Elephas maximus indicus: one gene and its partners. The protein of the gene in region 3 interacts with the protein of the main gene of each other region in a biochemical or structural test. Links are inferred from orthologs where the notes say so. Each region holds a gene or a part of one and is shown on either strand. Other genes may lie near its edges.

The links.
Region 1: of the proteins of AURKB (region 3) and CENPA, one has a biochemical effect on the other in vitro, tested with the Homo sapiens proteins (3 studies listed by BioGRID). The link is inferred for Elephas maximus indicus from reciprocal best matches to the Homo sapiens genes AURKB and CENPA.
Region 2: the proteins of AURKB (region 3) and KLHL9 form a complex in vitro, tested with the Homo sapiens proteins (2 studies listed by BioGRID and IntAct, with this or other methods). The link is inferred for Elephas maximus indicus from reciprocal best matches to the Homo sapiens genes AURKB and KLHL9.
Region 4: of the proteins of AURKB (region 3) and KLHL13, one has a biochemical effect on the other in vitro, tested with the Homo sapiens proteins (2 studies listed by BioGRID and IntAct, with this or other methods). The link is inferred for Elephas maximus indicus from reciprocal best matches to the Homo sapiens genes AURKB and KLHL13.

What each region holds. Positions count from the first base shown.
Region 1 is NC_064830.1:45,052,050-45,059,722, forward strand, and holds the start of CENPA (histone H3-like centromeric protein A), read left to right. Parts: upstream 1-4,659; 5' UTR 4,660-4,860; coding exon 4,861-4,948; intron 4,949-7,673. UniProt on the Homo sapiens protein: Histone H3-like nucleosomal protein that is specifically found in centromeric nucleosomes. Replaces conventional H3 in the nucleosome core of centromeric chromatin that serves as an assembly site for the inner kinetochore.
Region 2 is NC_064827.1:30,999,980-31,006,850, reverse strand, and holds the start of KLHL9 (kelch-like protein 9), read left to right. Parts: upstream 1-3,868; 5' UTR 3,869-4,077; coding exon 4,078-5,931; 3' UTR 5,932-6,871.
Region 3 is NC_064837.1:12,566,372-12,573,700, forward strand, and holds the start of AURKB (aurora kinase B), read left to right. Parts: upstream 1-4,320; 5' UTR 4,321-4,379; intron 4,380-4,700; 5' UTR 4,701-4,725; coding exon 4,726-4,773; intron 4,774-6,209; coding exon 6,210-6,312; intron 6,313-6,419; coding exon 6,420-6,477; intron 6,478-6,722; coding exon 6,723-6,914; intron 6,915-7,201; coding exon 7,202-7,329. UniProt on the Homo sapiens protein: Serine/threonine-protein kinase component of the chromosomal passenger complex (CPC), a complex that acts as a key regulator of mitosis.
Region 4 is NC_064846.1:38,901,451-38,909,401, reverse strand, and holds the start of KLHL13 (kelch-like protein 13), read right to left. Parts: upstream 3,013-7,951; 5' UTR 2,919-3,012; intron 1-2,918. UniProt on the Homo sapiens protein: Substrate-specific adapter of a BCR (BTB-CUL3-RBX1) E3 ubiquitin-protein ligase complex required for mitotic progression and cytokinesis.

The DNA of each region.
Region 1 (7,673 bases), on a different chromosome or scaffold from region 3:
AATCACTGAGTTTATTTTCATAATATGTAATAATTTTTTCATTAGTTTATTTATTATGCTTTCCCCCTCCCACCAGAACATAAGCATTATGAGGGCAAGGACCGTGTCTGTCCAATTTGCTGCATTATCCCCACCCCCTATATCAGTGCCTGGCACATAATAGATGCTCAATAATTGTCTGTTAAGTGAATCATGAAAATTGTGCAGACAAAAGTGATACGTTCTATGTCAGTGTTGTCCAATAGAAATACAATGTAAGCCACTGCTGTAATCTTAAATTTATACTTGTTAGCTGCCCTAGAGTTGGGCCCTACTCACGTCGATCCCGTATGTTACAGAGTAGGCACATTAGAAAAGTAAAAAGATACAAATAAAATTAATTTTAATATATTTTATTTAATGCAATATATCTAAGATGTTAAGGACCCCTGGTGGTGCAGTGGTTAAAGTGCTCAGCTGCTAACCGAAAAGTCCGTGATTAGAAGCCACCAGCTGCTCTGTAGGAGAAAGATGTGGCAGTCTGCTTCCATTAAGATTTACAGCCTTGGAAACCCTATGGGGCAGTTCTGCTCTGTTCTATAGGGTGGCTGTGAGTTGGAATCCACTTGACAGCAATGACTGGTTGGGTTTGGGTTTTGGGTATCTAAGATATTATTGTTTCAACATGTAAGCGATATAACAAATTAATAATAAGATATTTGGTATTAACTTTTTGTACTAAGTGTTCAAAACTCAGTATGTATTTCACACTTACATCACTTCAGATTGAGCAACCACATTTCAAGTGCTCAAGAGCCACATGTGGCTAGTGCCTTCCATCCTGGACAGTTCAGCTCTGTGTCGTTGTTGTTTGCTGCCATCCAGGAGGCCCCTGACTCATGGGAACTCCATGTGTTACAAAGCAGAACTGTTCCATAGGGTTTTCTAGGCCATAATCTTTATGGAAAGAGCCCTGAGGGTGCAGTGGTTAAGCCTCAGCTGATAATGGAAAGGTCAGTGGCTCAAAAGATCACAGCCTTGGAAACCCTACTCTGTCCTATAGGGTCGTTATGAGTCGGAATCGACTCGACAGCCACTGATTTAGTTTGGTTTTGGTAATCTTTACAGAAACGGATTCCCCAGGCTTTTTCTTCCTCAGAGTCCCTGGGTGGGTTTGAACAGCCAACCTTTCTGTTAGCAACCAATCGCAAACCACTTGCCCCATCTAGGGCTAATAAAAATTCACTTTCCTTAGCTAAGAGAATTTATAAGAGTGCATTACCACTAGCTGGTCCTCCTCTCCACTCTTTCAATTCTCCCCCTGCTGTCTTCAGCCACACAGCTGGGGGAGAGGGGATAAACCAAAAAACCAAACCCATTGCCATTGAGTAGATTCTGACTCATAGCAACCATATAGGGCAGAGTAGAACTGCCCCATAGAGTTTTCAAGGAGCGCCTGTGGATGTGAACTGCCAACCTTTTGGTTAGCAGCTGCAGCACTTAGCCACCACACCACCAGGGTTTCCAGAGGTCGTATGGTGTCTGAGAAATGTTTTACTTAATTAGTGGGCAGCTTGTACTCTAGCTGAGAGGGCAGAATTAAATTTCTGAGTTTTAGATATTGTACCCTAATGTCCTTTCCCGTCTTCCCCACTGTCCTGTCAGAGAAATTGTGTAGTCATAGAACAAGTAATGTTAGATCTGACTTAGCAACCTAATTAAAAAAAAAGAAAAATGCATAACGAATCTGTGGCTCAGCAAAGTAACAGTGACTTTCCTGAGATTACACAGGTTCCATCAACCCCCACACCCTCACCCTCTAGTCCCCATCCACCTTCTTCTGATGAGGTCACTAATCGCCCATCCCTACATCTAGCCAAACAGGGTAACCTTTGCTCTCCAAATGACCTCCGCTGGTTTGCCTCTTCTCAGGCTGTGATCTTTGTTTGACACACCATTCCTCCGTCCCCTCAGTCCCACCTTCCCAAATCCCTCCCAATCACCATGATTCTGCTCTACCTTCTTGAGGAAGACTCCCAAATACCCTCAACCTCAATACCCTCCACCCAAGAGTTTCCCCCAATTCCCTCTTCATGGCGCGGTGTCATATCCCTCATCATTTTCATGATAATAGCTTTAGCAAATGCTTGTTCTTCCTTCTTGTCAACACTTCATCACAATTCAAACCTTCAGCAAAGGTTTGCATCACCACTTCAGTGCTTGCTGACTGCTTTAATTTTTTTCTTACGCATTATTCTGTTTCACACTCTCAAATACCTCTAGATGACTCTTATTATCCCCATTTACAGATGAGAAAACTGAAGCTTAGAGAAATTCAGTAACTTGCCTTCACACCTAGGGGCAGGTCTGACTTCCCTTACTTCAAAAGACCACACTCTTAAACACTGTAACATGTGCATAATTGAAATCACTGATTTTTTAATTAATATTTTTCCTGATTATAGTACAAGCTCAGTGTGGATCATTTAGAAAATGCAAGAAAGCAAAGTGTAGAAAATTAAATCCCCTTTTTTTCTAAGACATGAACTGAATTCATATTATCCCCTAACAGGACAAGATGGAGCCAAGGAAATTAGAAGAAGTCATTAAGTCAAAAGTGTGATCCAAGAATAGCGATGAGGCCTGCCCCGCCCGAAACTCATGGCCAGAAGCCTGGTGATCCTGGTTGTCCCCTGGGCCCTAATAGTCAATAAAGCTTATGCAGTGAAACGACTTCTGAGTCATATTTAGAGGGTGTTCACGAAAGAGTCACAGGCACAACATGGAATTGTCATATCCCAGTGGGGTCACTAGGGTTGGTGTCAGCTAGTGTGGTAACTCATTGTGTCTCCCCTCTGCACCAAGGACTTTGGCTTTGGCCAAAATTTTTTTTTAAAAAGCCCTTCTCTCTTTTTATTCCATAGCTTTTACATTTTATAACATTTAAATAGAATCTTCTTAAGCAAAGATATGCAGTACTTTTCTCACAGGTTTCCTTAAAAAGTAAAATCTGGGGAACATCTACATCGGGTGGCTAGGGAATGCCTTTTGAGCCCAGCAGTGATTAGCTCCCTCTGCCTCACTGTGAGGGATACTGTGCTGCTGCCTCAGACTGGGGAATTCCTCATGCTTCTTACTTGCTGGGTGCCATGGATGTCAATTCCCATGAGAAGGCATCCTCTGTAGAGGGAGCTTCCCCAGTAGTTATAGGCATGGCAGCTGCCTTTATTGAGCTTTTCTAATGGATCAGGGATAAGGACTATTCTTAAAAGAACAAGAGTGCATTACGTGGGTTAGTGTCACCCAGTGCAGTAACTCATAGTGTCACCCCTCACCCTGCATGGACCTCATCCTGTACCAGACCATACAGAATCCACAGTAATGTTTTTGTACTCATGCTACTTGTAAATCGTAATTCTGTATATCACTACTTCTTTTCCTTTAGTTACTACTTCATTCTCAAAAAATGTTTTGATATAGGTTCACAAATACTAATTACCACAATATTGTAGCTAAAATATCAGAAAATTTGACAAAATCGACGACTATAAAAACACTGGCAACAATGAAAACAACAGCACATCCTTGTTGCACGGTATAGACAAAACTACGTGATTCCAAGCGTCATCATAATTGGATAACAATGACAGCTCTGACCGGAGTGCATTAACCCCAAACCAAACCCATTACTCTTGAGTGGATTCTGACTCATAATGATCCTACAGGACAGAGTAGAACTGAGCCATAGGGTTTCCAAGGAGTGGCTGGTGGATTCGAACTTCCAACCTGTTGGTTAGCAGCCAAACACTTAACCACTGAGCCACCGGGGCTTCAAGAGTGCGTTTGCACGTTCAGAAAGTAAATTAGCATGGAGTTTCAGCCTTGTAGATATATTGATACATATAAGCTGGGCTTACAAAAAAGTTTTTGTTGTTATAACTACAGGGATTTTTTAAATAAAATAATAAATTTCTGCTGAAACACTGCGCAAAAATTTTATAGACAGTCATTTTGGTGTCACCTTCTCCGGCAGTGTCACCTGGTAGAGTCAGCACTTCCCACCCCTCAACCCTGCTCCCAGTGACGTCACTGCGTACTCCCTGTGGACCTCACTTTCCTCATCTTCAAATGCTAATTTACAGGGTTGATAGGGCCAAACATAAAATGTCTAAGGAAAGTAATTTTTTTTTAGAGAAACGCGTTCTACAAACGCATTTTTCAAATTGAGCTTGCTCTGTTTGAGCATCGAAGCCCTGGTGGCACAGTATTAAGGCGATTCACTGCCAACTGAACGGTTGGCGGTTTGAAACCACCAGCGGCTCTGTGGGAGAAAGATGTGGCCAACTGCTTTTTACAGATTTACAGCCTTGGAAACCCTATGGGGTGGCTACGAGTCTGAACCGACTCCACGGCAGTGAGTTCGGTTTGGGGCTTTGACCAGCGGTCACACTGAACGAGCGATCTGACTGCTCAGAGAACACCCTCACGAACGAGCCGCGGCAGGAGAAATTCCCGCCTTCTTTCACTTCGCCAAGTGTCGGTTGGTCGGTTTCACCGTCGATCCCGGCCCTCCTCCTATCACCGCCCCGCTGCGTTCCCGCCGGCCTGTGTTCTCATTGGTCCACCCCGCAGCCTTCTACGCCATGGGCGTTCCAGAGTCAGCCACTGGGAGTAGCTGAATTTGGGTTTAAAAAACGCCGGTAGTGAAGTAGCCGCAGCGAACGTTTTGAACGGGGATTCAGCGTTGTCTACCCTCCGAGCGACAGCTTCTCGGACCCACGCGGCCCTGGGCTCTCGGACGCCAGCCTTTCGCCCCCGAAGCCCGTGGAGTGGGGCCGCACGCTTGGCTCGGGGCCGAGCGCCGACCCCTCCGGCCCAGCCATGGGCCCGCGCCGCAGGCGCCGCAAGCCGGAAACCCCGCGGAGGCGCAGCCCGAGCCCGACGCCCCCGGCCCCGCGGCGGCCCTCAGGTAACCGGGCCGCGGCCCCTTTCCCTCCGAGCCGACTTGCAGCCCGTCTGTGAGGCAGGCACGGCCGGTCCGCGTCACAGACAGGGAAGGGCACTCGCGTGCCGGGCTGGAGCTGCGGTAGAGCCGGTGTCGCCCGCCTCCCGGCCCAGTGGCCTTTCTCCGCAAGGGGCCGAGCGGCCCTGCCATCGGGCAGGGGTCCCGGGAGCGGCCGAGGGGCTGGACAAGGAAAGGACTGCATTCTCTTTATTGTTTATTGAGCCCTTACCCCTAACAGCTCGGAAGAAAGGCCTGGTGATCTACTGTCCCAAAATCGGTCATTCATGGGGTTGCCATCAGCCTGAATCAACTAACTCCACGGCAACTGTTTTGAGTTTCGTTTTAACCACTAACTAACAAGGCATTGTGCTAAGCTCTTTAGGTACATTATCTCAACTGTATATTGTCCCTATTGTACCGATGAGAAAACTGAGGCCCGATGACTTGAGCAAAGTCACCCAGCTTGTTCCAGGAGATACGGGATTTTTAAAAATCTGTGTTTGTGCTTTTTAAAATTGCGTAAGTATTGGCGGCTTTCAGTAACAATTTCAAACGCAATCCTGCTCTTAGAAGGGATCTTTCCAGGGTTGTTTTCTTCAGTGAGTGGCAGTGTTGGCGCTGAGCCAAGCCCGCTAACTCCAAGAGCTCTCACTCTGTTCCCTTCCATAAGTTGTGTCCCTGGGAAGGAGGACCGAGTTGTGGTCCTCAGTTTCTGTCCTGTGGATGGGTGGCAGCAACTGCTTTACTTATCTTCTAACTCTTGTTCTATAGCCAAAAAAAAATCCAAACCTGATGCCGTCGAGTGGATTCCAACTCATAGCAACTGTTTAGCTTATAGCTAAGGGCAGGGTGAAAAATGAGTGTATTATAGGTTATATAGAGAGGCTGCAGTTGTGATTGGGGTTTTTCTTTCCTAAAACATAACCTTTGCATCCAGCCACCTTGCTGAATTCTCTTGTTCATCCTAATAGTCTTTTAGTTGCTTTAATTGAAATTTTTGAGTAGACCATTATATTGTCTACAAATAATGACTTTTATATTCCTTTTTAAGTTCTATGTGTTTTTATTTATGTTTTCTTATTGTATTAGCGAGGCCCTGAGGCTAATATCGAAATAAGAGTAGTGCTTTGGCTATCTTCGTTCCTGATTTTAACAGGAATATTATTAAGTATGATATTATCTGTTGCTTTCTTATGTAGAAGCATCCTTCCACTCCAGACTAAAAGTTTTTTCTCAAATGGGCACTGAACACTTCTGCACGGGCCCTTGGTCAGATCCTCCTCTCACCTTCTCAGAGCCTTTCTGTTACCCTTTCTACCTGTGCTTGGAATTCAAGCTCCTTGTATTTTTTCCTCCATAACTGAGATGCTTCTGGTATTGGTTATTTTGTTTGCTGAGCTTGGTTCCTTTCATGCTGTTGGCTTTCTTAAGTTGTTTGATGAGTTTTAGTCGTGTCCATCTTTACATTTTCTGTGACTGCCCTTACCTGTTTACTAAAGGCGGCCTCCAGGCACTGGATGGCTGACTGGTGCAGGGGAGGGGTGGATGCCAGTTGTTTATCTCCTGGGTCTGGGGCCACCTTCTTTCTCCTAAATGTTACTAGTCACCTGGACACTGCTCTGTTTCTTTGGTCCACATTCCCTAACCAGGGATAAAATCTCCACTGCCAGCCATTGGCTCAACTCCCAACTCATGGTAACCCCACGCACAGTAGAACGAAATGCTGCCTGTTCCTTTGCCATCCTATCATCCGTCTGGGATCTGACTGTAATTAGCTGACTTTCAGCAGTAGATCGTCAGGCTTTTCTTCTTACTCAGTCACAGTCTGGAAGCTCCATTGAAACCTGTCTAGCATCATAGCAACACGCAAGCCTCAGATGGATGGTGGCTGCCATGAGGTCCACTGGCTGGGAATTGAACCCAGGTCTCCTGTGTGGAATGTGAGAACTCTCCCACTGAACCACCGCTGCCCCCACCCACTGCCCAGCACAAGCCATCTCTGGATTGCCTTGCCTTCCCCCACTTGCTCTTCAGCTCTTCTGACAACTTTATGATTAGTTTGCCGTTTTAAAACCCTTCTATTGAACTATTTGTGGGTTCTCTTTTCTTGACTGGACCTTAAACAACATTTCAGAAGTTAATTTTGTTCTTCAAGATGTTAGTTTCTGTAGATTGTATTTTTTTTATTTTTTTATGCAAAGTTTTAAACTTATCCGAGATTTGTCCATTTTATTGGTCATTGATTTTATTTATTGAGCAACTGTACTACTTTTTTTTTTAATTAATTTTTATTGTGCTTTAAGTGGAAGTTTACAAATCAGGTCAGTCTCATACAAAAATTTACATACATCTTGCCATACACTCCTAATTGCTTTCCCTCTGTTGAGATAGCACAGTTCTTCCCTCCACTTTCTGTCCTTGTGTCCGTTCGTGTAGCTTCTGGCCCCCTATGCCCTCTCATCTCCCCTATATTTTTTGTTTATTCTTTTTCATTTATGTTGCATTACCTTTAATACTTCTTTTGCTCTAATGTTCTCTTTGTAACACATGAGTTGAATGCTTAGCTCCACTATTTAATGTTCTTGTTTTGTAATAGGTATATTTTCAGATCACATGTTTTTCTCTAGTAATACTTTCACTGTATCTCATAGGTTTTGAGGTATAGACTTTTTATTGTTGTTCATTTCTA
Region 2 (6,871 bases), on a different chromosome or scaffold from region 3:
GACATTGCTGTACTTCAGGATAGATCTTGAAATGATTTTTTTTTTTTTTTTTTTTTGACGATGAATGTGATGCCATTCCTCTTCAATTTGTCATTCCTGGCATAGTAGACCATATGATTGTTCAATTCAAAATGGCCAATTCCAGTCCATTTCAGCTCACTAATGCCTAGGATATCAATCTTTATGCATTCCAATTCATTTTTGACAACTTCTAATTTTCCTGGACTTCGTACATTCCACAATCCGATTATTAGTGGATACGTGCAGCTGTTTTTTTCTCATTTTGAGTTGTGCCGCATCGCAAATGAAGGTCCAGAAGGCTTACTCCATCCATGTCATTGTGGGTCATCTTCCGGCACTATATCAGACAGTGTTTCACTGTTATTCATAAGGTTTTCAATGGCAAGTTTTTTGAGAAGTAGACTGCCAGGTCCTTTTCCTAGCCTGTCTTCATCTGGAAGCTCTGCTGAAGGCTGTCCACTGTGCATGACCCTTCTGGTATTTGAAATACTGGTGGCATAGATTCCAGCATCACAGCAATAGGCAAGCCACCACAATAGAACCCAGTAGAGTATGATGTAGAGTATTTAGCAGAAAGGGGTTCTCTCTTTCTTCCTTCCCAGAAAATTGTAAGAACAAAGAAAGAGGGAAGGAGGGAAAATAATCAGACTTTGTTTCCTGTTATCTTCTGAAAAGAGAAAAGTATACCAGGTAGGTTGAGGTGAGCACCAGAGACAATGGGTTCTTGTCCCGCTACTCACTTTAAGAATGGTCATTGGGTACCATCTCATGGGTTACCCCACACCAATCTGGAGGGTCATCACATAATCATGGCATCACAGAATGGTCAGCCAAAGACAGACTCTGAACTTTACAACTCTCCTGACATGTCCTCTCTGCCTTTGTGGTGAACACTGCATTGAGAGGCAATAAGCCTCTAAAGTGGCAGAATGATGTGACTTGTAGCCATGACTGGTGTGGATCACCTGGTCTACAGGCTGGGACACCCAAAGCTGAAGGAAAACTGAATCAACAAATAGAGAAGATAGGTGATTTTCACAGAGAGGTCTGACTAAACTAAAAGAATGAACCTAGGTTGGCCAGCTGCAGATTGCTATATATATTCAGTATATATTCATCTAATATATGTATATTCAGTAAGAACAAGGGAGATCTCTCTGAAGACCTGGTGCCACCAGCACACAAACAAGGACCACACCAAGCTGGAGGTGGGGTTCTCAAAGGTCAGGAGAACATTAAGCCTCCATTCCCATACTTTCAGACACCATTTAAGAAAAAAATCAGAAGGAAAAGACTCAGAGACTGATCATTTAAACAGATCATTTGAAGCATGAGATCAGACTAAGCTTAAAATAAAATTGGACATTCAGTTGTAGTTAATACTACCACCAATAATTCAGGGGTGTGGGATCTGGAAAAGAATTGGTTTAATGATAATAAAATTAAGGCTTTTTTCCTTTTCTTTTCAAATCTAATTTTGAAAACCAGCTACATATAGTTTAGATCATAAATGCAATTTTGTACATATACATTTATCGTATATCTACTTACAGTGTTAAAAACAGTTGCAAACAGTATTTTTATGGCTATATAATAGCAGATGACATGACCTTGCTTGCTGAAAGTGAAGAGGACTTGAAGCACTTACTAATGAAGATCAAAGGCCACACAGCCTTCAGTATGGATTACACCTCAACATAAAGAAAATAAAAATCCTCACAACTGGACCAATGAGCAACATCATGATAAACGGAGAAAAGATTGAAGTTGTCAAGGATTTCATTTTACTTGGATCCACAATCAACGGCCATGGAAGCAGCAGTCAAGAAATCAAAAGACGCGTTGCATTGGGCAAATCTGCTGCAAAGGACCTCTTCAAAGTGTTGAAGGGCAAAGATGTCACCCTGAAGACTAAGGTGCGCCTGACCCAAGCCATGGTATTTTCAATCACATCATATGCATGTGAAAGATGGACAATGAATAAGGAAGACCTAAGAAAAGTTGACGCCTCTGAATTGTGGTGTTGGCAAAGAATATTGAATATGCCATGGACTGCCAAAAGAAAGAACAAATCTGTCTTGGAAGAAGTGCAGCCAGAATGCTCCTTAGAGGCGAGGATGGCGAGACCGCGTCTTCCATACTTTGGACATGTTGTCAGGAGGGATCAGTCACTGGAGAAGGACATCATACTTGGCAGAGTACAGGGTCAGCAGGAAAGGAGAAGACCCTCAACAAGGTGGATTGACACAGTGGCTGCAACAATGAGCTCAAGCATAACAACGATTGTAAGGATGGCGCGGGACATGGCAGTGTTTCATTCTGTTGTGCAAAGGGTCGCTATGAGTCGGAACCGACTTGAGGGCACCTAACAACAACATAATAGCACATTATATGAATGTACAATAACGTACTTAATCATTACCATGTTGTTGACTATTTCGATTATTTTTAATTCCTCAGTATTAAAAATTAAGTTATATGATAGACATGTTTTTGCATAATTTTCCATGTTTAGTATTATTTCGGTAGACCATAATCCTAGAATTTAATTACTGTACCCTTATCCAGACACGTGGAAACCCTGGTGGTGTAGTGGTTAAGTGCAATGTCTGCTTAACCAAAGGGCTGGCAGTTCGAATCTACCAGGCGCTCCTTGGAAACTCTATGGGGTAGTTCTACTCTGTTCTATAGGGCCACTATGAGTCGGAATCGACTGGACAGCACTGGGTTTGTTTGTTTTTATTTTTGTTTTTTTTTTGGTTTTTATCCAGACGCGGGGAAGTTCTGTGTCCAGATTCTATAAATTTGTCACAAATTCTGTAAAACAATGGACACAAGAATGTATACATCCAAGAACAAATAATGGGCGAAGGAAATAATAATATGCATAGTTTTTTTTACATAGTTTTTGGAAAATCGTGTAACCTTTTAGTAAATTGTGAATGGAGAACAAAAAAAAAGCATGAAGAAATTATTTATGATGGAATTGCACTGTGAGCAAAAAATTCAGGACAAATTCAGGATATAATATGATCACGATTTCAGAGAGATGTGTGTTTTAAATAAAATTTGAAAATATGAGCCAAAATGATAATTGAAGTGTCTGTTAAATTGTGTGCGAAAAGAATTGCAGGTAAACTCTTTTATAGACAAAAAATTTTAAGTATCTTCTTCTCATCCCCTCCGGTGCCAGGTTACCACTCAATTTATACACTGGCAGGTTCAAGGAAATTCAAAAGGCAAAGGCAGGAAGTGTAAATCTCATAGGAAAAATATGCATTTTGGAGAGCTCAGACACCGCAAAAATGGTTATACTAAATGCAGCAAAATATACGTGCACTCCTTGCGGCCCATTCAGGGCTACTTCCACTGTGACCCTAGGAAGGTCTGCTCGCCCCCACCCTCGCAACCTCATTTCCCCGTCCCCCGCCCCTCCCTCCAGCATCCCGTGCACTTCCTCTCCCCTCCACTGCACGCCCGCCCACCGATGAGGTCAGGCGAGTGCGCAGCCGCAGTAGCTGCCGCGGCCGCTCCTAACCCAGGGCATCTTGGGACTCGGCTTTTCCGGAAGGAGTGGCTCGGCGTCTCGGGTTAGGCCCGTGTTCCCGGCCCAGGCCCAGGCCCAGGCCCAGGCCCGTGTTCCAGGCTCCTGCTCGAAGACAGGCCCGTGACCGCGGCGACGCGCTGGTGACAGCGGAGGGCGCAGCGGGCCGCTTGCCGAAGTGCCCGGCTTCGCGGCGGAGCTGCAGTACGTGGCGGCGCCTGAAGGAGCGGCAGCGCAGGCCGGCCGAGGTGAACCGGGTTATTTAACTGCCTTCAGGTGATGACTCATCTGCATAATAATCAGATTTGAGGTCCGCAGCCGTTTGTGGTCCTACGGAGCAGTTTTCAGTGGATGACTGTCAGGTGTGCCCTGAGGGGTGCCACAGTTACTGCTCGCCCTTGTTAAGGAAAGCGAGCTGTATTGCTCTTTGGAAGCCCTCGTTTCCTCGAAAACATTGTTTATTAACCTCTTTCTTCAGCATTCTTCTGTCTGTGCAAGAGGAAGGTTTTCACATGAAAGTGTCTCTTGGTAACGGCGAAATGGGCGTCTCTGCCCATTTGCAGCCTTGCAAGGCAGGAACCACGCGCTTTTTTACCAGCAATACTCACAGCTCGGTGGTATTGCAAGGTTTTGATCAGCTTAGAGTAGAAGGATTGCTTTGCGATGTGACCCTGGTACCAGGTGATGGAGATGAAATCTTCCCTGTTCACAGAGCTATGATGGCGTCTGCTAGTGATTATTTCAAAGCCATGTTTACGGGTGGAATGAAAGAACAAGATTTAATGTGCATTAAGCTTCATGGAGTGAACAAGGTTGGTCTGAAGAAAATCATTGATTTTATTTATACTGCGAAACTGTCTCTTAATATGGACAATCTTCAAGACACACTTGAAGCTGCCAGCTTTTTGCAGATTTTACCTGTTTTGGACTTCTGTAAAGTATTTCTTATATCAGGGGTCTCTTTAGATAACTGTGTTGAGGTTGGACGGATTGCTAACACCTACAATCTTATAGAAGTGGACAAATATGTTAATAATTTCATCCTGAAGAATTTTCCTGCATTGTTGAGTACTGGGGAGTTCCTGAAACTCCCTTTTGAGCGGCTTGCCTTTGTGCTTTCCAGTAATAGTCTTAAGCACTGTACTGAACTTGAACTCTTCAAGGCTGCCTGTCGCTGGCTAAGGTTGGAAGACCCTCGGATGGATTATGCTGCAAAATTAATGAAGAACATTCGATTTCCACTGATGACACCGCAGGACCTCATCAATTACGTGCAAACTGTAGATTTCATGAGAACGGACAATACCTGTGTGAATTTGCTTTTGGAAGCTAGCAATTACCAGATGATGCCATATATGCAGCCAGTGATGCAGTCAGACAGAACTGCCATTCGATCTGACTCGACTCACTTGGTTACATTAGGAGGAGTTTTGAGGCAACAGTTGGTTGTCAGTAAAGAATTAAGAATGTATGATGAAAGGGCACAAGAATGGAAATCTTTAGCCCCGATGGATGCTCCTCGTTACCAGCATGGCATTGCTGTCATTGGAAACTTTCTTTATGTGGTTGGTGGTCAAAGTAATTATGATACGAAAGGAAAAACCGCTGTTGATACTGTTTTTAGATTTGATCCTCGGTATAATAAATGGAAGCAAGTTGCATCATTAAATGAAAAGCGCACATTCTTCCACTTGAGCGCCCTCAAAGGATATTTGTATGCGGTTGGTGGGCGAAGTGCAGCTGGTGAACTGGCCACAGTAGAATGTTACAACCCAAGAATGAATGAGTGGAGCTATGTTGCAAAGATGAGTGAACCCCACTATGGCCATGCTGGAACAGTGTATGGAGGTTTAATGTATATTTCAGGCGGAATTACCCATGACACTTTCCAAAATGAGCTCATGTGCTTTGACCCAGATACAGACAAGTGGACACAGAAAGCTCCAATGACTACAGTCAGAGGTCTGCATTGCATGTGTACAGTTGGAGACAAACTCTATGTCATTGGTGGCAATCACTTCAGGGGAACAAGTGATTATGATGACGTTCTAAGCTGTGAATACTATTCACCAACCCTTGACCAGTGGACACCAATTGCTGCTATGTTAAGAGGTCAGAGTGATGTTGGAGTTGCTGTCTTTGAAAATAAAATTTATGTTGTTGGTGGGTACTCTTGGAATAACCGTTGTATGGTAGAAATTGTCCAGAAATATGACCCAGAAAAAGATGAGTGGCACAAAGTTTTTGACCTTCCAGAGTCACTTGGTGGCATTCGAGCTTGTACCCTCACAGTTTTTCCACCTGAAGAAAACCCTGGATCACCTTCTAGAGAATCTCCTCTTTCAGCACCTTCAGATCATTCCTAAGACTAAGGTATAATACATTTGCAGTGCATCATGGATGATCTCTTTTCCTTCAGTTGTATTTCTTTTTACAGTGATTGGTACAGTTATTAGATAAAAGGTAATCGATGTCATTTGTGTTTTTTTGCCTTAGTATGTTTACCAAACGACTAATAAATGCATTCTGAAAATGTGTTCCACATAGCCAGCTGTTTTAACAAATGAAAAAAAAAAAAATGTGTAGAAAATGTTTAAATTAGATGTCTTCTTGTGGTGTTGTGTAAGTCAAATTGGAGGTGATTGTAGTAAATACACTCATGTTACAGAGTTGCAAGTTTTCATCTTTACCTGCAGGACATCGAAGGGAGGCAGCCTGTTGTAACCTAAAACAAGTATTGTTAGCTGACCTCCTCTTTTCGTAGAGCTTTTAACCTATCTGTGAACTGAACTTACCAGATTGTATGGATTCACACTATGAGACATTTCTTGAAAACATGAGAAATAATAAATTCAAAATATTAACTTGAAAAATCAGTAAAGCCCTAAGTCAGAGTTTGATATCTCTTTTTAGAGAGTTAATACACATAATTTTAAAATCCATTTGCACTTCAACTATGTGTGAAATTGTTTTTACATTAAAAAAATTTCCCCACAGATCAGCTATTTCTATTCATATGGGAATTCTGTACCAGAGGATACTGAATTTAGATAGATAAGGGCTGTAACATTAAATTGACAACCAAATTTGTCATTTGACTAAATTGTTGTGTCACATGAAATTTACATTACTTTTCTGCTTTGCTGTTGAAGTAACTTGTACATTGTTTTATGTAGAGTTGCTTTTCTTCAGGTTATTTAGCAAAGTTCAAATTTCAAAGAATTGTTTTTACTCAATGTAGGTTTCACTATTTTTGTTCAGTAAAACCTAGGAAAAAAGTGAAGAAATAATGCTGAACAAAGTTAA
Region 3 (7,329 bases):
TTGTGAGGGCGGGGCAGGACCGGGCAGAACTGCCCTATAGCACATAGGGTTATCCAAGGAGCGCTCGGTGGATTCCTACAGCCGACCTCTGCGGTTAGCAGCCATAGCACCTAACCACTGCGCACCAGGGTTTCCAGCCTCTAGCTAGCAACTATTGATCTGCTTTCTTGTCTCTATGGGTTTGCCTATTCTGGATACCAGAACCAAAACCAAACGAGTCGTTGTCGACTTCTAGAGACCCTGTGAAACAGGTTTGGTGGATTCGAACTGGAGGTATTTTGGTTACCAGCCAAGGTCTTTACCACCAGGGTTTCCAACGAAGCGTAGTCGGCAGGATTCGAACCTGCGCGGGGAGACCCCAATGGATTTCTAGTCCATCGCCTTAACCACTCGGCCACGACTACACGGGCTGTTGTAAATATTTCATATAAATGGAATCATGCAATACGTGTCGTTTTGTGGCTGCTTTTTTTCATTTAATGTTTTCAAGGTTCATCCATGTTGTAGCATGTATCAGAACTTCATTCCTTTTATGGCTGAATAATATTTCATTGTATAGTTATGACACATTTTGTTTATACATTCATCTGTTGATGGACATTTAAGTTTTTTCCACTTTTCGGCTATTGTGAATAGTGTTTCTGTGAACATTCGTGTACAAGTTTTTGTTTGAGCACCTGTTTTCAGTTCTTTGGAATATGTAACTATGAGTGGAATTGCTCGTCATACAGTAATCCTATATTAAATTTATTAGAAACTACCAAACTGTTTTCCACAGCATATGTTCCGTTTTATATCCCCACCAGCAATGCACAAGGGTTTCAATTTCTCCACACTCTCGCCAACACTGGTGATTTTCCTTTTTTTTTTTTTTTTTTAATTATTATGGCCACCGTAGTGGGCATGAAGTGTATCTCATTGTGGTTTTGATTTGCATTTCTCCAATTATCAGCGAGGAAACTTTGGTGGCATAATGGCTAAGTGCTACAGCTGCTTAACCAAAGGGTGGGCAGTTTAAGTCCACCAGAAGCTCCTTGGAAACTCTGTGGGGTAGTTCTACCCTGTCCTATAGGGTTGTTATGAGTTGGAATCTGCTGAAAGGCAATGTGTTTTTGTTTTCTTTTTAGTAATCAGTGATATTGACCATGTTTTCGTGTGCTTATTGGCCATTTGCATATTTTCTTTGGAGAAATGTCTATTCAGATCCATTGCCTTTTTTCTTAATTATTGTACTTTAAATGAAAATTTACAGTTCAAGTCAGTTTCTCATACAAAAATTTATACAAACATTATTATGTGACCCTAGTTGCTCTATGACAGCACACTCCTCCCTTCCACCCTGTGTTTCTCCTGTCCGTTCAAACAGCTCCTGTCCCTCTCTGCCTTCTCATCTCGCCTCTGAACAGGAGCTGCCCATTTATTTTCATAATATCTACTTGAGCTAAGAAGCACACTCTTCACAAGTATCATTTTATGTCTTATAGTCCAGTCTAATCTTTGTCTGAAGAGGTGGCTTCGGGAATGGTTTTAGTTTGGGGCTAATAAAGAGTCTGGGGGCCATGTCTTCTGGGGTCCCTCCGGGCTCAGTCAGACCATTAAGTCTGGTCTTTTTACTAGAATTTGAGTTCTGCACCCTGCTTTTCTTCTGCTCTGTCAGGGACTGTCTGTTGTGCTCCCTGTCAGGGCAGTCGTTGGTGGTAGCCGGCCATCATCTAGTTCTTCTGGTCTCAGTCCATTGCCCATTTTTTAATTGGATTATTTGTCCTTTTGTTGTTGAGTTGTAAGAGTTCTTTATATATTCTGGATATAAATTCTTTATGAGATATATGATTTGCAAATATTTTTTTCATTTTGTGGGAAGTCTTTTCACTATCTTGATAGTATCCTTTGATACACAAAAGCTTTTAATTTTATCTTTTTTTTCTTTCATTGCTTGTGCTTTTGGTGTCTGACAAACCATTGCCAAATCAAAGATTATAAAGATTTACTCCTGTTTTTTTTTTTTTCTTCTAAGGTGTATTTTTAGCTCTTACTTTTAGATTCTTGATTCATTCTGAGTTAATTTCTGAATATAGTGTGAGGTAAGAGTTCAATCATTCTTTTACACGTGGAAATTTATTTAGTCGTACCAGCATCATTTGTTAAAGAGGCTATTCTTTCTCCGTTTAATGGTCTTGGCGCACTTGTCAAAATCAACTGACCATGACAGAAACTGGAAGAATCCCTGAAACTATGGCCCCCAGATGCACTGTTAAGCCAGAACTGAACCATTCCCAAAGCCCGCTCTTCAGACAAAGATTAGAAAGGACTATAAAACAAAAAAATAATACACGTGAGGAATGTACTTCTTAGTTCAATCAGATACATGAGACCAAATAGGTAGCTCCTATCCAAAAGCAGGATGAGAAGGCAGGAGGGGACAGGAACTGGTTGAATGGATACAGGGAACCCTGAGGTGGAAAGGAGGAGTCACATAGATTGCAACTAGTGTCACAAAACAATATGTGTACAAATTTTTGAACAAGAAATTAACCTGAGCTGTGAACTTTCACCTAAAGCAGAATTAAAAAAAAAAAATCAATTGACCATAAATATATAGGCTTATTTCTAGACTCTTAATTCTATTTCATTGATCTATATTTCTATCCTTATGCCAGTAGCATTCTGGCTGTACCTCCTCCAAGATCTATCTGTATGGGATCAAATTGACAACAGCAACTTGAAAGATTAGATAGGAACCTTAGGGGGCAGTGAGTTTATGTTAATGGGGGAGGAACAACTCAGAAAAGGAGGGTGAGAATGGCTGCACAACTGGAAGAATGGAATCGATGTCACTGAATTGTACATGTAAAAACTGTTGAATTGGTGTACGTTTTGCTGTGTATATTCTTAACAACAAAATAAATTATTTTTAAAAATGAATGAGTTATGTCTGACTGTGTTGATGTGGGAAAATGTCCAAGGAAAACTGAAAGATTTAAAGAGGTAAATCGGAGAGCAATGGGTGTGATGATTCCATCTGTGCCATTTTTTCAAGGACAGACATATACATGCACAGAAAAGATCTAGAAGGGTATATCAAACTAATACGTGATAGAAAAGATCTAGAAGGGCATATCAAACTAATACGTGATAGAAAAGATCTAGAAGGGTATATCAAACTAATACGTGCATAGAAAAGATCTAGAAGGGCATATCAAACTAATACGTGATAGAAAAGATCTAGAAGGGTATATCAAACTAATACGTGCATAGAAAAGATCTAGAAGGGTATATCAAACTAATACGTGCATAGAAAAGATCTAGAAGGGTATATCAAAATACATTAGTAGAATTTACCTCTGGGGAGTGTGGCTGGGACCGGGGCTTTCAAGTTCCTCTTCACAATCACACTGTAATTTTTTCATTTTTCTACTGGTAGGATGAATCATTTTGACAACAAAATGCTGGCACACAGAAGAGCCGGATGACAATGGTTGCCTCTGGGGATAGGAGTAGAGGACTAGGCAATTGGGGTGGTAGAGAGTCTTACTTTTAACCGAACTGTTTAAATTTTATCGTGTTCATGTATATTTAAAAACCAGTAGTACATCGACAATATGGATGAATCTCACAAATAGTATTGAACAAGAGAAGTCAGGCACAGAAGAATACATGTTGTATGGGTCTGTTTATGCAAAGTTCAAAACAGGCAAAACCAGTATGTGGGGTTACTTCTGCGTCGGAAGGAGCAGAAAAGAGGCGAACGTTGCAGCAAGGCGGCGGAGCAGGTTCAAACAACATGGCAACCGCAGGAGAACTTGCAGAGAAACGTCCATATACTTCCTCCTAGGGACGTTTTAGTGGATGCAGGACTTTTAAGAACAAAATAGTAATGACCCAAGGACAGACACACACGCAAACGAACAAATAAGGTGACAGAACAGGGGGCCCAGAAACAGACCCAAAACCGGAACTTCATATATTAAGGGTGGCATTTAAATCACGTTGGGAATGTGGCAGTTTTAACAAATAGTCTTGGCATAACTGACTACCCATCTGTTACATCTTAACTCATACACACACGGATTAATTCCAGAGATATTAAAGATTTAAATTAAAAAAAACAAAAAAAAAAACAAACTTGAGAACATCTGATTCGGGGAAAGAAAACCTCTCCATACCGGAATGCGAGAGTGCGGAAATGCGCCTTCCGCCGTTTCCATTGGGCTCCCACGGCCTAAGTCAGGGAACATCCAACCAATAAGAATTGGGCATGGGCGGTGCGCTCAGCCAATGGGGTCAGGGCGGGAGATTTGAAAGCGCCTCGGCTGGGGCGCGTCGGGGCAGATTCAGTCGTTTGCGGGAGGCAGGGAGAGCAGCTGTCCTGCCGGCTCCAGGTGAGCTAGCCCCCTTCCGCGGGCCTTGCGCCGGGAGAAGACAGGTGATCAGGCAGGTCGGGGTCCGTTGGGCGGGCCCGCGCGCATTCCGCTGGGCTGCTGGGCGTATAAAAGTGGAGAGAGGGTCCTGGAGGGGAGTGGGGCCAGTAGCTGGGAGGGACGAAATGGCAAGCGCCGGGATCCCGACTACTCTGGCCAGCGTGCTGATCCGCTCCTTTCCACCAGCCCCAGGCAGGCGCTTCCGGCTAGAAAGGTCAGACCCCTCCCTCGTGCGCTCATTCTATGTTCTTCTCACGGCTCTGTTTCCCTCCTCCGGCTCAGCTCCCCGCCCCCTTTCCCTCTAAGGATGGCCCAGAAGGAGAACGCCTACCCCTGGCCCTACGGCCGGCAGACGGTAAGGCCCTTTCCTCTCCCTCCTCCCCCTATCCCTATGGCGAGATACTGCTTGGAGATTGTCTAAGGCGCCCAATGCCAGCTTTGGGGTCCTGCAGAGGCCGATCCTCTTAGCACTTTCTTCGCTAGTATGCTCCACTGTATGGGCTCCAAGAGTTTGCTAGAAGAATCCGGTCTGGTCTTTCGCAGCCACGTCCTAAAGGCTTCTCAAGTGCTGTGAACTTGAATCTGACCAACCACTGGCCCCTCTGCTGGGCTGACTGAGCCTACTTGTCACATTCAAGTGATAGCTGGGACTGAGCGTCTGGCCAGAGTCAGGGTCTGGCCTTTGAGCCACGATTCCCTACCCTTGTCCTGAAAAAAATAAGATAGACCGGAAATAGAAATAAGATGTTTAAAAGGTCAAGGACAAGTCTAAATTAATAATTTGGAGTTTATTTTAATAACTAGAGTGCAGAAGGATCTAAATAGAGTATTTTCTAGATGGTTAGCCAGTTGTCCCAACACCTTTCACTGAAGAGTTCACTCTCTGATTTGAAATGCCACCTGTATTATACGTTTTAAATTCCCAAATATATGTGGGTCTATTTTGGGGCTTGTTTATTTGTTGCTGTCTTGGGACAGGTTTCTAAGGGCACTAGGGTTTCTTCCTCTCTGGGCTGAAGAAACACTGCACTGGCTTAGCTCCCTTGTTGGTGTGGCTTAGGCATCCTGGAGGGTCCATCTATCCCTTGTCCAACAGTTCCCTCCCTCCAGGAGCACTTAGTGAGGTTGTTAAGAGTGGAGGCTGAATGAGAAACCACTGTCACCTCTACATTGGTCACTCCCAAAAGAAAGTTGCGTATATTAACCTGAGAGGTTGAAAATTAGAAGTGGTCCCAGGCCACCAAAGTAGTCCTCAGTGTCCAGAAAAGCCTGTTGGTGCAAAGGGCTAATTACTGGTGTTTGCTGCAACGTCCAAGGCTTCAAGGACCTCACCTGAGCCTTAAAGACTGGGCTTTTAGGGGACTGAGAATACCTCTGTGCTAAAACTCCTCGGATTGTGGGTGTTCATTGACCCAGTCCACTACTGCTCCCTAGGGTGGGGGGCCTGGGTGACTGAATGTGATGTTATGGACAGGACTATAGAGGCTGGAGAGCTTTGTACCTGAGAATGTGGTGTGGGCCAGGGCCAAAAAGGTGAAACGTGAGGCGCTGGGATGAGTCTTTTGATCCTTATATAAGTCTAACTTAGGCTGATAACTAATAACACATTGTAATATTGTGCTCTGAGCAGAGTCTTAGGGCTGGGTGGCAGAATTCTATCAGTGTTCCTCTTTGAGCTGGGGGTGAGTGAGTCGTGGCTCCATAGCAAGTAGCTAAATTGCTACACGTAGCACATTCCAGCCCAGTCACTGGGACAAAAGCGCCTCAGAGCTACCCCTTGCTCCTTCTCAGGCTCAATCTGGCCTAAACACCCTGCCCCAAAGAGTATTCCGGAAAGACCTTGCCACCCCATCTGCACTTGTCCTCATGAGCCGCTCCAATGCCCAGCCCACAGGTAACTCAGACGAGGGAGAGGATTGACCTGAAGGGACTGGAGCCTATGGGGAGGGCACAGGGATGAGAAGGTCAAATGAGGGCCTCAACTTACCTGTTCTCTCTTAGCTGCCCCTGGTGAGAAGAAGATGACAGAGAACAGCAGTGGGACACCCAGCTTCTTAATGTAAGTACCCCAAGCCTCGGGGTGGGAGAGAAGAGGTGGGATAGGAAACGAGGGAGGTAAACCCCAGGGGCAGGTGGAGTAGGGATGGGGCAGGAAAGTCTGGTCCATTCTCAGCTCCCTTCCAAGAGAAAGAGGGTTGAGAGCAGGATGGGCTGAGGAGTAGGGAGAAGACAAACAATTTAAATGACCAACAAACCCATGCCACCTCCTGGCACTGAGCGGCCTTCCCCTCACTTTCCGATCAGGCGGCCCTTCACAATTGACGACTTTGAGATTGGGCGTCCTCTGGGTAAAGGCAAGTTTGGAAATGTGTACTTGGCTCGGGAGAAGAAAAGCCATTTCATCGTGGCACTCAAGGTCCTCTTCAAGTCTCAGATAGAGAAGGAGGGTGTGGAGCACCAACTGCGCAGAGAGATCGAAATCCAGGCCCATCTGCAGTAGGTCAACACCCTCCAAGCAAAGCCCCTCTGCCCCTCACCCCCAGCCCCAAGCTTCTCTTTCCATTCCACCACCTCCAGCCTGCTTTCCAGGCAGCTGTGTCTGCTTAGCTCTCAACTGGGCCAGAGCCATGAATCCAGAGAGCTGTCCCCATCCTCACCTGTGTTCCCCTTCACCACTCCCAGCCCTGGCGTCCCCAGCCCGGTCCTGTTTGCCCCATATGGACCTGTCATTTTCCCTGGCTCCTAGCCAGGATGCAGACTGAGGCTCCTCTGTGCTTCCCCAGGCATCCCAACATTCTGCGTCTCTACAACTATTTCTATGATCGCCGGAGGGTCTACTTGATTCTGGAGTATGCCCCGCGGGGGGAGCTCTACAAGGAGCTGCAGAAGAGCCGCACTTTTGATGAGCAGC
Region 4 (7,951 bases), on a different chromosome or scaffold from region 3:
CCCTGTTCTCCATGTCACATTTTCCTACTCATTCCCCTCTCTATTCTTACTACAGTCAGTAAGTATTTTCCTCATTTGTTTACTTGTTTATTATTTATATCCTCCAGTAGATTATAAGCTCCATGAGACTCCACAAGAGCAAGTATCATGTCTTATAAGTTTTACCATTGTGCCTAGTACAGGGCATTGGCACATAGAAAGCGCTCAATAGATTTAGATTTTGGAAAATGAATTGCTAAATGAATGAATAATGTATTTACAACCTGATTGCTGTGAATGTTAAGTAACTTGAGGAAGCACTTTTTCTAGTTTTGAGTTATATTTTCCAAAATCTTTCTAGATTTTCTGAAATCTAATGGTGTCTACCAAACTGTTATTTCACAGCAATAAAAATAGATGTCTCAACCAATGGATTTAAGAAAAAATATTTTGAGGACAGTTTCATAGTTTATTAAATATCAATAAAATCACACAATTTGGGACTGGTTAGTCTCATTTAACTATTGCAAGCCAAAATACTTGAGGAAAAATAATTGAAAATGTAAAGTAAATGAGAAATAAGACAATCCAGCACCAAACTGCAGTTATGCTACTAATAACAGAAATATCCAGCATAATAACCTGTAGGTGTACTAGGCGAACTATCAAATACATATTGACTCATTAAAAAAATTCCGAGAAAATGCTTACAGCTAACTCACACCTACCTCTATTTCTCCTGGCAAACATAGTTTTACTGTACCATCACCTTAGTGACAATTTTAGTTCAGAATTAGTATCAATAATAATCACAAAAGGAAAAGATATTTTAAATCATGTAAAATTACCTGATATAAATTCTTTTTGAAAAAAAGTTCCCAAGAAAGTTCAGATTTAGAAGGATGGGCCTGTGATAAGTCCCCTTTCCCTACTATATTTTATTCTTCATAGAACTAAAATGAAGTCAAAAATTTACCAAATTTATAAAAAAAGTATAAAAATCATCTGGAAGCCATTGTAACCGAACTAAATGGATAATCAATGGCCTTTATTCTTCTTGTAAAACCCCCCTTCTTCAGCACATCAACTTCAACCCTATAGTCACACCACAGTTCTTAAAGCATGTTTATAAAAGTGGTAGATTTAACAACCTTGGGAAAATGAGGCTTTATTTCAAAATAGACGCTGCTGCATAAGCTGCCCTCACTGCGTCACTGCCAAAAGAAGTGCTACTCGGATAGTGAAATTCAGCTATTATCTTCACTCACAACTTGGTTTCTTCTGAGATTACTGCCAGTTAGGGCACATAGTGTCAGTAGCAATACCCGGTCACACATCAAGCAAACAATTCTATTACTTTTAAGGATAAGGATATTAATAAGAACCTGCAGCTAAGGGGGCTAATTTTTTTCTTATGTAAAATGATGTCATAAGTGCTTAATGATTTCATTTTTTTCTCCGTTTTCAAATTTGTGCATTAGATATATAGCCTATTTCTAAAACACAGCTGCATACATCAACACGTGCTCACTCACTCGTATCTGCCTCCACTTTCAGCTTCTCCATTGAATTTTCTGCCGGCGCTAATTACAGCAAGGAAGTGAGCAAACGCATCTCAGTGTGGGAGGTGACATGGCAATTGCATAGGAGAAGGTGGAATTGCTAAGAGAATAACTGGTGCTGTGAAGTCCACTTAAGCAAACTAACGTCTAATGCACGGAAAAAAATAGTTTTATTGAAAAACTACATGGTTTTGAAATGCTGTTTCTTGGGAGTGTATACAAATATGAAATCTACAGTAAAAAATTGTGGCTTGCTTTAAAAAAATCTGTAAGTATTTTCCTCTGTTGCAGGTTCCTTCACGACTAAGACAGTTTTAAATCCCAGTCTCTCCGATTCTATTCAATGTCCTTAGTAACTAACCCAGAAAAAAAACCAGGGCCGTCTTACTAAGTTATGGGTCCTTAGTAACTAGGCTACCCCAATTTGAGTGATTTTTTAACTCACTAAAAATCCTCTGGCTATATTAAACCATTGAACATCCCAATTTACAGGTGGAGAAATGGAGTCAGCAATCAAAAGTCCCACCAGTCCTCTCAGGCTGACTCAGCAGCGGAGGGGAGGGTGGGACGAATCAGATTTTTAAAAAAAATTTTTTTTTTTTACTATACTAGGATTACATCTTCTGAATCGACCCCATGGCCAAGAGTTAGGGCCTTTTTATTGGGGGATGGGGGTTGCGTTGGACTAGGATACACGGATGGAGAGATGGCTGGCAACGGTTCGTGGACCAAGTTATTGAAACCTAGAAACTTTCAGGTTCCTTAGCTGATATTTACGAAAGGATCGTTCCCACCACTTTCAGTAAACCATAGGCTGGACTGTAAGCCTCCAAAAAATCAGCACTCAACTGTGATTAAACCAAAGATGTCAAGACGTTCAGAGCGAAGTTGAAAGCTTGGAGGGAGAAGAGGCGTGTGCTCCTGGCGGAGGCTTCCAAGTTCGAAGATTCTGAGGGAGGGATGGATTGGGAGGCACAAAGGAGAAGCTGTTAGAGGACAGGAGTCAGTGGGGCCGAGGCAGGCAAAGGGGCCCGAGACCGTCAGGACAGCGACAGTGAAGCCCGGACAGGAAGACCTTGGAGGGATAACAAAGAAGCAAAGGGAAAACTGGCTTCTGGGGTCCTAGAAGAACCCAGGTATCTTGCGGAGCCAGGAGACCCTGAGGTGGGAATGAGAAGGTGCTCGGATGAGGGCGTGCACACGCACGCGGGAGAAAAAGGGGAGGCGTGCAAAGAGCAAAGCTGGTCCCCTGTCCCACTGGCCCTAGTGTAGATCGGGAACTCTTCGCCGCGCGCTGCTTCGCGGCGCTCGGTCCCGGAGGCCGGGAGGCGGGGACAAGGCTGATGGAGCCCCTGCAACTTCGGGACCCTGCCTCACCTTGTTTGCCGCGTCCGGGGTCCCGCCACTCGTCCGCCGGCTGCTGCGCTCCTGGGGCCAAAACGGGAGTCGCTCCGCGCAATCGAGGCTCCCTCCTACTGTGAGGTACCAGCACCCTCACCTCCGCACCGCCGCACCTCTGCACCCCTTGCTGGCTCTGGCCACTTCACCCTGTGCTGGCGGAGGTGGAGAGCGCGGACCCTGGACCCGAACGGCGCTCCAGTTATTTCCAGAAGTCCCCTTTCCAGGCTTCCCTTAAATAGGAGCTGAGCTGGGGCGGGCAGCAGCAGAGCCTCCGGCTGACCTCACCAGGGGGTGGAGGGGAGGGAGGGGAGAAGGAGGGAGAGGGGCGGGAACCTAGGGGGGAGGAGAGGGGAGAGTGGTGGGAGGGAGCCCGGGCGGGGGCAACATGGCGGCGGGGGTGGCCCTGGCGGCGCCTGCGCGGAGGCGGGGGGAGCTGGGGCTAGCACAGAGTGCGGGGTCCGAGCTGAACTCCCTGGCAGTGACCGAAGTGGGGCGAGCATGGGCCCGGAGGCGGGATGACAGTCAAATGTTCCTCACGCCTCCAAAACCTAGACGCTAGGGTTTGAGCATACTTGGCCTCTAGTGCCCAGGAGGCAGGAGAGGTGAAAGCTGTCAAATATCCAGGAGCAAAAGTGCGCCCGCCCGGGGCTAGCCACTCCAAGAGGAAGCCGCCCGTGCCTCCTGCCAGCTTTGGCCCTGGCCTCCTCAGCACAGCGGGGCCAGGAAAGGGTGTGTGCTGTAGAAACAGGGCCACTTCACCTCAGTGGGATTCTCACTTCAAAAGAAACCTGACTCAGGCTTTCTTGCAACAGTTCATCACTCTTCTAGCGCGATGAGTGAGCGCTTCATCTCTCCCCCTCCTGACAGAGTATTAAGAAACAGGAAGAATAACAACCACAAATACAGCAGTTTAACATTGACTGAACGTTTGCTATGAATGAAGCTCTGATCCATTAACTGTCTTAACTCTCACAGCTACTCCACGAGGTACCCACTATTATTATCTCCATTTTACAAATGACAGCTAAGGCGTAAATTTTAAGCTAGTTGCCCAAGGTTATAGAATTTGTAAATGGCAAAGCGCCCAAGCTCTCATCCACTATGCTATACTGCTTCTGGTGGGACTGCTATTACTAAGTCAGGATCTTGATTCTATCCTCCCAGTTCTGTTAACCTGTTGTCTTTCGGCGCTGTACAGTCGATTTCGGACTCCTAGTGACCCCCTGTGACAGAGTAGAACTGCCCCCATAGGATTTTTTTTTTTTTTTTAATCTTTAAGAGAGGAGATGGCCAGGTCTTTCTCCTTTCCATTGCGCTTAACTTTTGTGCCACCAGGGCTGCTCCTGTCAACTTAGCCCCCAAGGAAATCCCTAGTCAAGCCTGTTTGCCTCCTTACATGTTTCCTCATTCATTCTTTGACTTCTTGGTGATTATAGCCTGGGGCCACCTTCTTACACCTCTTCCTTCTCTGTTTCTACTTATAATTCCAGACTCCTCCGTGGAAAAATAGCGGGAGCTTGCTGTTAGCAACCAGTTTAATAATTGGGATTTTTTTTTTTCCTGTTTTATTTTTAAGGGTGAGAGGTGCTCCTTGGAAACCCTATGGGGCAGTTCTACTCTGTCCTATAGGGTCGCTATGAGTTGGAATCAACTCAACAGCAATGGGTTTGGTTTTTCTTTTTTTTATGAGGATCAGGGCATTTATGACACTGTAGTTCTTTTTTTTTTTCTTCTTCTTATGTTTCCTAGTATTACTCTCTCTGCCTTCCAGTAAACTGATCTGGAATCTGAGATCTTGCTATTGCTGACTTGTTATTTCAAATTCCACATATTAAAATTCAAGTAGTGAGTTTTAGGTAAATTTGAGAATGATCAGCTACTCAAAAACGTGCTCGAACTGAAGATATCACCACACTGTTAGTCTTTATCAAACTGGTGAAAAGATAAGAACTCCAAATGCACAAGGAAATCACGTTATTATTTGTTATTGTCAGTGCATTCTACCCAATTCATCTTTATTAACAGGAATGCATTCATTAGCTTCTCCACTACCCTTATTCAATAATTATTATACACCTACATTACACACTGGAAATATTGGTGGTGTAGTGGTTAAGAGCTACGGCTGTTCATCTACACTTTCTAATTTTTTCTGTACTAAGAATAAGAATAGAAGAGAAAAATATGGTTTTCTAATAAAAAATGAAAGGTTTTGGAGAAATTTTAATGTGGAGTCATATTTTAGCCATATCATTTTTAGATGGCACCATGTGCACTGGGGATATAGAACAAGAGCAGTTAATTGGAAGGTATTTATATACGGGTGGTAGTTAAAACAATAGAAACAATTAAGAAAACTCAGAGGAATTTAGACTCACAGAAGAATTTAGTTGTCAAAGGAGACACCCAAGGAAGAATGGGGAAAAAAAGAAGTCAGTCCAAGTGAGGAAGGAGAGAACATTAGAACTAAAGGGGAGGCAGCTGTGTTAAACATAGAAGAGAGAGTGAGGGAAATGCTTCCAAGGTGAACAAGGTAACACTCCCCATGTGGAATAATCCAGAGCAGGTGTTGTACTTCACAGTTTAAGCTATTTTTTTTTTAATTTATCATACTTTTAACCCTATAATGTCCTCATCTTTCTAAAATGAAAATCTAAATATGTCACTTGTCAGTTAAATTTGGCTTTTCCTTTGCACATTAGAACTCCAGGAAATCATGAGACTGCTGGAAAGGAACTCAAATTTGCCTTGGCCCTCTAGATCACCGATGATAAAGTTAAGACCCGGAGAATGAATGTGATTTGCCCAGGGTCACACACAACCAATGACTTAAACATAGTTAAAATTTCTCAGCTCTCCCTGATAAAGGAGAATGCTAGTGTTTTGGTAAATGAATCCTTAGATAATCTGTCAAACTAATTTTGTCAACCGTTTTCAAGTTTCCTCCTTTTCCCGCTTTTTCCTTCCCTGAAGCTCTAGCTGGCCTACTCTATCACCCCTCTTTCCATGTTCCCCTCTCCTCTCTCCTGAACCTGTTTCTCAAACATGCCAGGGAACTGCTTCATTTTGCCAGTGTGATTGCTCATTTGAAGGATCCCTTGTGGCGCAGTGGTTGCAGCGCTTGGCTGCCAACCAAACGGTCAGCGGTTCAAACCCACCAGCTGTTCTGCAAGAAAAGATGTGGCAGTCTGCTTCCATAAAGATTTACAGCTTTGGAAAGAAACCCTATGAGGCAGTGTCTGTCCTACAGGGTCCCTGTGAGTCTGAATCAGCTTGACAGCAGTGGATTTTGGGTTGCTCATTTGACCATCTTAATAGGAATACACTCCTCTTGTCAGCCTAGCAAACTGCTTCTTCTTTAAACAGACTCATTCAAGTGTAATTTTCCCTGAGAAGCATTTCCCGCCAACCCAGGTGGCAATGCACACACCTTGGAAATAGTGAAAAGCAAAGTTGGCCTGGGTTTCAATTTGAGCGCTACCATTCATTAGCTGTGTGATCTTGAGCGAATTACTAAATCTCTTTTTGTCCATTCGTTGTATTTTGTAATGGCAATACCAGCAATTTCTTCCCAAATAGGCCTCTCCTGAAGGTTAAATAATTATTATGGGTGTTGTTGCTGTGTGCCATTGAGTCAATAGCAACTCTATAGAAAAAACTGGTTTTTGTTTTTTTTTTTTTCTATAGAGTCAGAGTAAAACTGCACCATAGGGTTTTCTAGGCGGAAATCTTTACCGGAACAGATCTCTAGGTCTTTTGTCCTGCAGAGTGGCTGGTGAGCTCAAACTGAAATGCTTTCAGTTAGCAGCTAAGACCTTAACAATTGCACCACCAGGGATCCTTCTTTATGATGCACAAAAGCACTTAAAACAGTGCCTGCTACATAGGAAGTACTTTATAAGTCTTCCTGTTGTTGTTGTTAGTTGCCACCAAGTTGATTCTGACTCATGGCAACCCCATGTGTGCAAAGTAGAACTGTTCCATAGGGTTTTCAAGGCTATGACCTTTTGGAAGCAGTTTTCCAGGCCTGTCTTTCAAGGTACCTCTGGGTGCTTTCAAACCACCAACCTTTCAGCTTCAACCTACTCCTTAGCAGAGCACCTGAAACACTTTAGAGCACTTTTTGCATGTCTGCCTCCTCCTACCAGATTATAAGCTTCCTGAGATCAGCAACTATATCTGATTCACTGTCTGGCAATAATGAGTGCTCAATAAATGCTTATGAAGTGAAAAAATAAGCTGTGTCTAAGTAAACAAGCAATCCCTACTCTAAATAAACCAGATTCATAAAAAAGTTGTTTTTACAAAAACAAATTGAATAAATTAGTCTGTACGTTTCTGCCTTAAATATTAAGCCCTTGCAGGTATATTTAAATAAATGTCAATTCACAACTATCATATAATTGTTCAATTGTGTTAGTCAAGGGAATGCTGAAAGTGGGAATATGCCATTCTACTACATCCCTTTTAATAACACCCCAAACTGTTTTTTAAAAACCTTGTACTTCTTTCCTGCTGGCAGATGAGCTCTGCCAATCACTGTATAACTTGGGCAAGTCCTCTACCTTCTCTGACACTTCCCTAATCTATAAAATGGGATAATAACACTCACTACTCAACACAGAGAAGTTGTGGTGATTAATGTTACTAAGATACTTCAAGATCCTTTGATGAAAAGTGCTCCAGAATAGCCAATTCTTTTTTACTAAGTTTGCCTTCTTTGTTCTTGATGATAGGACATGTGGACATAAGGAGCCTTGTTCCTAAAGAGGTTCAGCTTCTATTTCTTCCTGTTGACTTTCTTTGGGTGTAATCCTACATTTCATTCTTGTGGGCTTGCCTAGAGATTTTAAGGGAGAAATGAGCAGCAGCAACTCCTTGGGAACAAAGGTCCCAGTTTCATAAGCATGACCTTGTTAAGAATTTGCCTCTTAACATTAGGTTGTACCTGAACTGCCTCTGATCAATTTTCCTTCCCCAACCCCCCACCCCCAACAAAGTCTCCATTG